Linked DNA regions of Macaca mulatta. The protein of the gene in region 1 interacts with the protein of each later gene in a pairwise test. Links are inferred from orthologs where the notes say so. Each region holds a gene or a part of one and is shown in the gene's direction. Other genes may lie near its edges.

What was found.
Region 2: the proteins of FHL5 (region 1) and BANP interact in binary tests that used the Homo sapiens proteins (3 or more experiments, as listed by UniProt). The two-hybrid records come from large-scale screens. The link is inferred for Macaca mulatta from reciprocal best matches to the Homo sapiens genes FHL5 and BANP.
Region 3: the proteins of FHL5 (region 1) and CREM interact in a two-hybrid assay, tested with the Homo sapiens proteins (2 studies listed by BioGRID). The link is inferred for Macaca mulatta from reciprocal best matches to the Homo sapiens genes FHL5 and CREM.

What each region holds. Positions count from the first base shown.
Region 1 is NC_133409.1:89,284,991-89,288,645, reverse strand, and holds part of FHL5 (four and a half LIM domains protein 5), read left to right. Parts: intron 1-145; coding exon 146-315; intron 316-3,655. UniProt on the Homo sapiens protein: May be involved in the regulation of spermatogenesis. Stimulates CREM transcriptional activity in a phosphorylation-independent manner.
Region 2 is NC_133425.1:83,365,769-83,369,423, forward strand, and holds part of BANP (protein BANP), read left to right. Parts: intron 1-359; exon of another isoform or gene 360-360; coding exon 361-517; exon of another isoform or gene 518-982; intron 983-1,442; exon of another isoform or gene 1,443-3,208; intron 3,209-3,655. UniProt on the Homo sapiens protein: Controls V(D)J recombination during T-cell development by repressing T-cell receptor (TCR) beta enhancer function. Binds to scaffold/matrix attachment region beta (S/MARbeta), an ATC-rich DNA sequence located upstream of the TCR beta enhancer.
Region 3 is NC_133414.1:36,596,054-36,599,708, forward strand, and holds part of CREM (cAMP-responsive element modulator), read left to right. Parts: intron 1-2,781; coding exon 2,782-2,970; intron 2,971-3,655.

The sequences.
Region 1 (3,655 bases):
AGATGAATGGGTTTTTTTGAACCTGAAAAAATGCTATTTTTCTAAAAGGACAATTCATTTATCATCTTAACTTAAAACGTCTTAAAGTAATTTGATCTGTATTATGCTTGACTTATACTAACAGGTCCTTAATTTTGGAGTACAGGTTCCCGCAAAATGGAATTTAAAGGAAACTACTGGCATGAAACCTGTTTTGTGTGTGAGAATTGCCGACAACCTATAGGGACAAAGCCTTTGATCTCCAAAGAGAGTGGCAATTTTTGTGTGCCGTGTTTTGAGAAGGAGTTTGCTCACTACTGCAACTTTTGTAAGAAGGTAATTTTCTACAGAGGGTGAAGCTTATGGAAACTCAGACCATTTCTTTTTAGCTGTATCATATATTTGGAATGAACTGATATTGTTACGCTATATCTGCAATCACACACCCATAGTAGTTTGGACTTTCAACATGTCCAAACCACTAATTGTCATGATGACGATAACCATCTTTTTTTTGTTAACCATAAAATTCCAGCCACAGTAAGAATTTAATATTCCAAACAGCTCAAGTGATTTGGTATTCCAGTTCATTGCACTGTTTTTTGTTGTTGTTGCTGTTTTGTTTTGTTTTTTTTCCTGAGATGGATTCTCACTCTGTCGCCCATGCTGGAGTGCAGTGGTACAATCTCAGTTCACTACAACCGCTGCCTCCCGGGTTCAAGAGATTCTCGTGCCTCAGTCTTCTGAGTATCTGGGATTACAGGTGCTTGCCACTGCATCCAGCTAATTTTTGTATTTTTAGTGGACACAGGGTTTCACCATGTTGGTCAGGCTGGTCTCAAACTCCTGACCTCAGGTGATCCACCTGCCTCAGCCTTTCAAAGTGCTGGGATTACAGGCATGAGCCACCACACCTGGCCCATTCACTGCTTTTATACAACATCTCACATATTCTGAGAGAAAGCACAGGTCTCTCTTTGAATACAGATGTTTCTTAAAAAATAATTTTTGATCCATTCAGTATTAACTGTTTCAGAGAAATATGGATTTGCCTCACAAAGTGACTAAGGGAACCAAGTTAAACAGGGTGTTTAACTCTTCACATTCTTTCTCAGCAATGCAAATGTCTTCTTGATTTGAAGCTTTTGTATTTCCTAAGAGTAGAGCAATCAGCTCAAGAGAGTGCCAAGATCATGGGGGACGTTCAGCAGACAAAAGACAGAAAGAAGACTAAGGGCAGCAAGTTCCTTCACTCCAGCTCCAGGATCATGTACAGCCTTCTGACTTGGCTTCCCACTCAAAAAACATTTTCTAAGAGAGAAAAAAAGTGATTTTTTTGAAGTAAACTTCATCCAATTCTTTTTTTATCCTCTAAGCTTTTATGTGAAAAAGTAGCTCTAACACCTTGATGAAGCCTGTCTGCATTCTATATAATATATATGGGATGTTCTCAAAGAAATCCTTGATCTCTGAGGCATCATAAGTTTAAAATGACACCATAAATTGTCATAAGAAAGCTGAATCATGAAAATACATTGAATTAGTATAGTGGTTTCAAAGTACTTTTTATCTATGGGCCACTTTGGGAGAACTCTTAAGCCCGTTTGTATATCTGGACAGCTGGAAGTCACACTACCACTTTCTACACACGCATATGTGAACACACATGCACATACACACACACATGCAGTGATTGTTTAACATGCATAACCAATACCAGTACTTCATTTAAAGAGGTAGCAATATACTATACTAAGTTATAATTATTAAATTATACAATGTTGATGGCTGAGAATTGCAATTGATGACAACATGATATAAAACAATCTTATGACTGAGACCTTCATTACTCTACCAAAACACTAGCTTAGAAAATGACTTTACAAGCAGCAATCAAGCCATATGACCATGTGACATATGAATTCCAAAGAATTACCAATGACAGCATTTAAAAACATGCTGGAGGTTGGGCATGGTGGCTCATGTCTGTAATCCCAACACTTTGGAAAGCCAAGGTGGGAAGATTGCCTGAGATCAGGAGTTCAAGACCAGCCTGGGCAACATAGTGAGACCCTGTCTCTATTTAAAAAAAAAAAAAAAGTTTAAACATTAGCCAAGTATGGTGACATGTGCCTGTAGTCCCAGCTACTTGGGAGGCTGAGGCAGGAGGATCACTTGAGTCCAGAAATTCAAGGCTGCAGTGAGCTATGATTGAGCCACTGTACTCCAGCCTGGGTGACAACGAGATCCTATCTCTAAAAAATATACAAAACTTAAAAATTAAAGAAATTAAAATCATGCTGGAAATAAAATGAATAGATTCATCTCACTGTTTTGAGAGACAACTGAGTTAGCCAATTTTAGACTTCATTTCTTAAAGCCTTAGACTAAAACAGTAATGAGATTTGTGAGAATTATCTTAAAATCATTTATTGGATACAATATAAAGTCTCTTTCAATGCTATAACAATTCAAGAGTGAAGCTTCTTTAGTACATCCATGCTGAGCACTGTCTGGGCCAAGTGCTAATGTTTCCCAGGTTATTGGAGCCTGTAACTATATTTAGGATATGATTTGAAGTCACCAAACATTTACAAAATATTTATATTGGGTAGTAGACAGATTATGACATACCGGATTATTTTTTATTTAGTTTTTAAAACCACAAGTCCTTTTCTAAAAAGCTGGATATGTTTTTGATCAAGATGATCCAATCTAAACAATTTTTTTCAACCCAAACCAAAACCCAAATATTTTCTTAAAAAAAAGAAAAAACGACCTGACAATCAGGCTCTTAGAACTTTTAAGCTCTAAAATCCATAGATTTTATTTTGTTACACTAAGATTTATTTTCCACCGGAAAGCAAATGATTTTAAACTACAAGCCCTTCAAATTCAAACTCCTCAAGGTTCAAAAGGAGTTAAACGTCCTCTTCAATTCTTCATCTGTCACCTACTGAGTGCAAAATCATTATTGCCTCCACTTTTTCAGAGAAGAAACTTGTTCTAAATCCTGGGATCAATCAGTGGTGAAAACCAAACTTAGATATTAGACTTCATCTTAACCTTCCTACCTCTTCAAAAGGAATGTAATCACAAGCAAACTATTTCTAATGTTCCAGAGTTTCTTGTCTCTAATTAAACAGTCTTTGGTGTATATATCAAGTTTTATTTTGCTGTGAATACATTTTTCAAGTTTCAGATCTTTTAAGCATTGCCTGCTAATCATTAGACCAAACAAATCAAAGGAATCATGAATTCTGCTGTGTCTGCTGTAGGGCATTGGAAGTCAGTAGGGAGTATTTTAAATTGCTTTACTTCCATCACACCATTATGCTTCTCATTTACTTATTCAGAATAGTATGCTTTTTTCCTCTAGGAAAATATCTTTCATATCAAATATCTTTAATTTCTAAGATATTTGTTATATGATTAAAAATATATTTAGAATAATTTTTTCACAAGTGTATGTCACAGACAAATAACATTTTTGAGTTTGTAAACAAGGAGGTGGCTTAAAATAGGCTCTATGTTTTACTATCTAGTTAATTTGATACAAAGGTTGTGGGAACCACCTCAGATATCCCATTGCTTCAGTCATTACAAAAATTTACAAAAACACATTCCAATATCTGCAGCAACTCTAAGAGCTCATTAGCTGTAAATTCAAAAGGTG
Region 2 (3,655 bases), on another chromosome or scaffold:
GACAGGACGTTTGCTGTAGGCAGTCAGGCCCCACTGGAGACTTGAGCTGAGGGAGAGGATGTTTCCAAGCCAGTGTTGGGAAGGTGGCTTTGGAAGGGCATGAGGAATGCAGTGGAAATAGAGACGCCCTGGGTGACTTGTCCAGTGGTTAAGGAATGAGGCAGCGGGTGGCGTTTTCAACTATTTGTTAATTTTCAAAGAAACTTACCTTTTGGTGGTTTGAGGCAAGAAGAACCCTGCATGTAAAAATCCACAGACATTCTCGGCCTCTTGCATACATGTGCACGGCTCGTGGTTTTCATCATTTCACATGTGGCGATGGTTAATGTCCTCTCCTCCTCCTTTGCTTCTGTTTGGTAGGTGACCAAAAGCCAGCCCCTCTTCGAGTGGAACTCTTGCGTGTTGACCGGCCACTCTCCTGTGCTCTGGATGATGTCTGAACACGACCTGGCGGATGTGGTTCAGATTGCAGTGGAAGACCTGAGCCCTGACCACCCAGGTACAGAGCTGTGGGACAGTAGGTGAAATATATTCTCATTACTCTTGAAAAACCAAAAGCTGCTGCAGTTATTTTCTTTTCTTTAAGCAGAAGTGAAAGTAATGCATGCTGTATATGAAAAAGTTTGAATCCTAGAGATGTGAACATTGTCGGCCCCTCCCTTCCCTCGCCCCTGCAGCCTCAGCCCCATGTTCCTTCTGGAGGGGGCCCCTGTCACACTTTGTCTCGAGGGCTGTCTCTGCTCCTGCTGCTCGGGTGTGTGTGTGTGTGTGTTCTACACCCTCTCCCCTGCCCCATGCCTGTGTGTGGCGTCATGGATCCTTACCATGTTGTGTGTGTAATCCCCTGTGTGTGGCGTCGTGGATCCTTACCATGATGTGTGTGTAATCCCCTGTGTGTGGCGTCGTGGATCCTTACCATGATGTGTGTGTAATCCCCTGTGTGTGGCGTCGTGGATCCTTACCATGTTGTGTGTGTAATCACCTGTGTGTGGCGTCGTGGATCCTTACCATGTTGTGTGTGTAATCCCCTGTGTGTGGCGTCGTGGATCCTTACCATGATGTGTGTGTAATCCCCTGTGTGTGGCGTCGTGGATCCTTACCATGTTGTGTGTGTAATCCCCTGTGTGTGGCGTCGTGGATCCTTACCATGTTGTGTGTGTAATCCCCTGTGTGTGGCGTCGTGGATCCTTACCATGTTGTGTGTGTAATCACCTGTGTGTGGCGTCGTGGATCCTTACCATGTTGTGTGTGTAATCCCCTGTGTGTGGCGTCGTGGATCCTTACCATGTTGTGTGTGTAATCCCCTGTGTGTGGCGTCGTGGATCCTTACCATGTTGTGTGTGTAATCCCCTGTGTGTGGCGTCGTGGATCCTTACCATGTTGTGTGTGTAATCCCCTGTGTGCGGCGTCGTGGATCCTTACCATGTTGTGTGTGTAATCACCTGTGTGTGGCGTCGTGGATCCTTACCATGTTGTGTGTGTAATCCCCTGTGTGCGGCGTCGTGGATCCTTACCATGTTGTGTGTGAAAGTCAGCTCTGTTAGCAACTCCGCAGAATTCATTCGCAGGTGCCCCCTCCACAGTTGACTTTTTCCTTCAGGGGCTCCTGGCATAGTCTGTCTGATTTTTCCTTTATACACAACCCTATAGGGAAGATCCTTGCATATGTATCTTGGCAAATAGAGAAGTTCCCAGAAGGAAAATTGCTATGTGTGTTTAAAATTTTGTTAAGACACTGAGAGGTTCTCTAGAAATGTTTTACTAATTCTTCCACTCACAGTGCTTGAGAACACGTTTTTTTCTACACCTTTGCTAAGGCTGGTAATTTTAAAAAATGATGTTAAAGGCACATGTCTACTTTGAAATAATAAACTTGTTTAAAGGAGACCCTTGAGAAATGAAACCTTAAATTTCAGGAACTTCATCTCTTCATCTGTGAAAACACTTTGTCCACACTTACTGTTTTAAAGAGATTTCTTCTTCTTCGTCGTCTTCTTTTTTTTTTCTGTAAAGTGGTATGTGTTTTATTGTTCTGTTAAGTTTGAAGTGACAAGCCCACCACAGCTAAGTCACTGAATGTTTCGGTTGCCTGGTTATTCTTTCAGGAATGTTCGAATTGAAAGGCTGACAATTTATTCCTCCAGAAGAGAGAATTTTCAGAACTCTCATAAGGAAGTCTGATGTCCATTCCTATGATCTGTTTGCTCTGTTAGTCGAGAAAACTACATGTGGAGACTAGTTGTAGTCTGGAAGGGGAGGGCAATAGAAATAGTTTTGGGGTGAGGTGAGCAGTCCCAGGGGAACATGAAGGCAGCATTTCAGGAGTGCTGTTGGTTAGTTTTCCACACGATCACTGCACATTATTTTACAAATCCCTGTTTCTAGTTTAGAAGGCAAATGACAGTTTCTTTAGAAAACATACACTGTAATCTTGTAAAAGAAAACTGTTCCAGTTACATCATTTCCAGTGATTTCAGAACCATTAAAGTTCTGACAGCCTACTTCCCCAATAAATCTCTCTTTATAGACCGTGGCCCAAAAAAAGCTTAGAGAAATAATTTCGAATCTTGATTTTGTTCCATCTCTGTTCCTTAAATGCCTGAGAACTATGATTTCTTGAGTATTTGTTAAAAGCCTACTGTGCGCAGAGCTCCTTGGCCTGCCCAGTACAAAGCCTGCAGTCTGGACCCAGGAGAAGGTGTGCACAGCTGCAGGTACCTTGGTGTGTCACGCATGTTTGCATTCATTGTGGGTTTAAAGTACTTTCCTCATCTCAAAAGTATACATCTAATAAAGTTTAACAGGATAGTCAAGAAAGTAGAAGAAATAAAAATTTTCTACAATCCTACTGGTTGTAGCAGCTTTTAAATTGTTGATGTGTATGTCTTTCCAATTTCTCCTTATTTTTATTTAAAAGAAAGACTTCTAGGATCATCTGACTTGATGTGTACCGACCATGGCTTGTGCTAACTCTACCTGTCTGAATGCAAAAATTGTGACTTGCATAAGGCCTGTCATTGCAGTTGATTGATTGTGATGTCTTTATTTATTTATTTGTTTATTTAAGACAGAGTTTTGCTCTGTCGCCAGGCTGGAGTACAGTGGCATGATCTTGACTCACTGCAACCTCTGTCTCCTGGATTCAAGCGATTCTCCTGCCTCAGCCTCCCGAGTAGCTGGGATTACAGGCGCCTGCCACCATGACCGGCTAATTTTTCTATTTTCAGTAGAGACAGGGGTTTCACCATGTTGGCCAGGCTGGTCTCGAACTCCTGACCTCAGGTGATCTACTCACCTCGGCCTCCCAAAGTGCTGGGATTATAGGCGTGAGCCACTGCACCCAGCTTGATGGTGATATTTTAAAAATGAACAAGGAGTTATTTTAATTCTAAAAGTAATGCATACAAAATTATAAAAAGCAACACATACAAAAAGCAGCAAAGTACAAAGAAGAAAATAAATGTCACTTGCTGTTCCATTACCTGTGGAGTCATTACTGGAGTTACTGCATGCCTGTCTGCTGCCCTTATGACGAAACTAGCTCTGTGACCCCAGAGAAGTCCCGTAACCTTTCTGGACTTGTTTTCTTCTCAACAAACTAAAAAGTTAGAGTAATAAGTGCGAGGGTCTCTCTCTGTTCTTCCAGGCCTGGTGT
Region 3 (3,655 bases), on another chromosome or scaffold:
GGTTCTTACCCCTGAGGGAGCTACTCTCACCTCAGATTGACTTGATCTAAAAGCTTGATAATTACATTGGTGTTGAAAAACTAGGTTCTATGATTAGAATTTGAAACCATACCTCATTTAACTCTCCTAGATTCACAGGTGGCTTAAGTTGTTTATAATACCATCTGTCATGAGGAAATGATAGCCATTCATTCATTCATTCATTCTGTTTATTGAATGGCTGCTCTGTTCTAGGCTTTGTCCTTCTTTTTTTTTTTTTGAGACAGAGTTTCACTCTTGTCCAGGCTGGAGTGCAATGGCGCGATCTTGGCTTACTGCAACCCCTGCCTCCCAGGTTCAAGCGATTCTCCTCCCTCAGACTCTTGAGTAGCTGGGATTACAGGCATGCACCACCATGCCTGGCTAATTTCTTGTATTTTTAGTAGAGACAGGATTTCTCCATGTTGGTCAGGCTGGTCTTGAACTCCTGACCTCAGGTGATCTGCCCACCTCAGCCTCCCAAAGTGCTGGGATTACAGATGTGAGCCACCGTGCCCGGCCTAGGCTTTGTACTTCTAACACACCGTGGTTACCTGACCTTAGGCTGTTCTTTTCTAAAGCACTATTTCTGTGACATCAAATTAATTATCAACTGAAAAATACATATTGAAATATATGACAACATACAAAATTTACTCATGTCTAGCCACAAAGGGCCAAGAAAGCAGTGTCTTTTGACATTTTTATACTTATAAGAAGTTAGATCTCCCTCAAACCCTTTTACTGTGAGGGCTGAATCCTGAAACCCATGAAATCTTTGGAAAGCCATGGTTTAAAAATATCCTGTTTTTAAAGTATGTACAGAAAATACTGCTCTAGATGAGCCAGATAAAGTGCTGTTACATCAGGGTATCTCAGCCTCAGCTCTGTTGACATTCTGTAACTGACTTCAGTTTCTGCCACACTGGCCTGTCAGTGAAATAAAACACAGAGAACACAGCATGTGGAAATCTTTTTAAAAATGTTAATCTGTCTTCCTGTGTAGACACTGGCACCCTAGGTGAAAGAAGTGAAAATTTGTTGTTGTTACTCTTTCCATAATTCTCATAGGTTTGTCCTATGTAAGGTTATTACCTAAGTGCTTTTTTGCCTACATGCTATTAAAAATGTTTGGAAATGACTTGAAAGTATTCAGAGTATATTTTAAACACTACTTTACGCTACTGTAAGGCATTTACTTTGATGTATAGATGTCATGTTATTCTGGTGATGTGTTTTTAAAATCTTTGTTGTAAAGCCTAGTTAGGTAGTTTATATGTGATTTTTTAAAAAGCATAGCCTCTGGTACCATTTAATACCTACTATTTAAAACATGCAGTTGGAATCTTTATGTTAAAATATACAGACCTTCCAGATATTTTAAATAATACTTATCTATTATAGTGAAATTTTTGAAACAAAACATTTGATCAGTTATTCTTTGGAAGCTTCAAGTCCATTAATACGTCAACTTTTAAACATGACTGGCAAATCTCAGTATTTAAAGGGAATCTACCTCATATTTGTTGCCATTAGCTGTAGTTATTTGAGACACTTGGTAGAGATAAATATTGTAGCACAAATCCTTTTAGTAACAGTTACTTTTTAAGGACCTTTCCAACTTGACATTTTATATTTCAGGATTCTCCTGACAGACAAAATGGCAAAGATTACACTTTTCTAGACTTGAGCTTTATAACCAAAATATTTTAATATAAATTTATATATAAATATATGTATATTTATAACATATATGTTATATATGACATATATGACATAATTACATATATAATTATATATTTTTATATAAATATATATAAAAACATGTTGGTTATATATATAATTGTATGTATGTATTTCTTTTTTTTTTTTTTCTTTTGTAACGGAGTTTCTGTTGCCCAGGCTGGAGTGCAGTACCGCGATCTCAGCTCACTGCAACCTCCACCTCCCGGGTTCAAGTGATTCTCCTATCTCAGCCTCCCAAGTAACTGGGACTACAGGCGCCTGCCACCACGCCTGGCTGATTTTTGTATCTTTAGTAGAGATGGGGTTTCACCATATTGATCAGGCTGGTCTCAAACTCCTGACCTCAGGTGATCTGACCACCTTGGCCTCCCAAAGTGCTGAGATTACAGGCGTGAGCCACTGCACCTGACCTATATATTTCTTAAAAACTACTTTCTTTTGATGACAAATTAGAAAAGTAGTTAGCTGAATGAAGGTACAAATTCATTTTAATTGTAATATTAAATGGGAATTTTTCTCTTTTCTTTCCTTTTTTTAGAGACAGGGTCTCCCTATGTTACCCAGCCTGGCCTCGAACTCCTGGGCTCAAGCAGCCCTCCTGCCTTGTCCTCCCAAAGTGCTGGGATCACAGGTGTGAGCCACCACACCTGGCCTTAAATGGGAATTTTAAATGGTAGAAGAATGGTGTTTGTAAGGAAAAACATCTGAGAGAATGGAGAAGACCAGGAAGCTGGACTCTCCCTGTCTGCTTCTCCACTCTTCCTCTTGAGTGATGTAGTTAGCTGGATGCTAAGGAGTAGGAACACTCCATGGGCTCTATGAATCTCAAACAGTTATTTTCAGGTGTTTATAAGCTTTTCCTAGCATATTGTCCCATGACGAATTCAGCATAGAAAATAAGGGTAACCTGAGAAAGAAGCAATGGTAATAAATAGACCCAGAGTATATTCTTCCAGTAGGGGATTATTAAAAATAAATCTTGAAATTCTCTAATATTTCTTTTCTTTTTCTGTTAAGTTGCTATAGCCCAAGGTGGAACAATCCAGATTTCTAACCCAGGATCTGATGGTGTTCAGGGACTGCAGGCATTAACAATGACAAATTCAGGAGCTCCTCCACCAGGTGCTACAATTGTACAGTATGCAGCACAATCAGCTGATGGCACACAGCAGTTCTTTGTCCCAGGCAGCCAGGTTGTTGTTCAAGGTATATTTTATTAATCTAATACATTTAGAATACCTATGGATTACTATATCACACCACTGAGTGGTGATTTTATAGTTTTCTGAAATATATCAAAGGTAGATGGGGGGGGGTTGGGACGCACTTAAAAACGCTTACAAAAGAAATATTTTAATACATTAAATAGCAAATTAAGTTTTATCATTTTTCACCTTTTAGCAGGTTTTACTGGCTCTGGAGAAAGGCCAGATTCAGAGTAGCATGACAGAAAAAGAGAGAGAGAAACATGAATGAATTTTTTGTTTTGTTTTGTTTTGTTTTTGAGATGGACTCTCACTCTGGTGCCCAGGCCGGAGTGCAGTAGTGTGATCTCGGCTCACTGCAACCTCTGCCTCCTGGGTTCAAGTGATTCTTCTGCCTCAGCTTCCCAAGGATCTGGGATTACAGACATGTGCCACCACGCCTGGCTAATTTTTGTATTTTTAGTAGAGACGGGGTTTCACCACGTTGGGCAGGCTGGTCTTGAACTCCTGACCTCAAGTGAAGGCCTCAGCCTCCTAAAGTGCTGGGATTACAGGCATGATCCACCGTGCCCAGCCACATGAATGAATTTTTAAATTAAGTAAATATCCTTCCTTTGGGGATTGCAAATGTTGTACCTAATAGATTTATATTACCTAATCTGTGACAATTTAAGTATTCAGGCTAT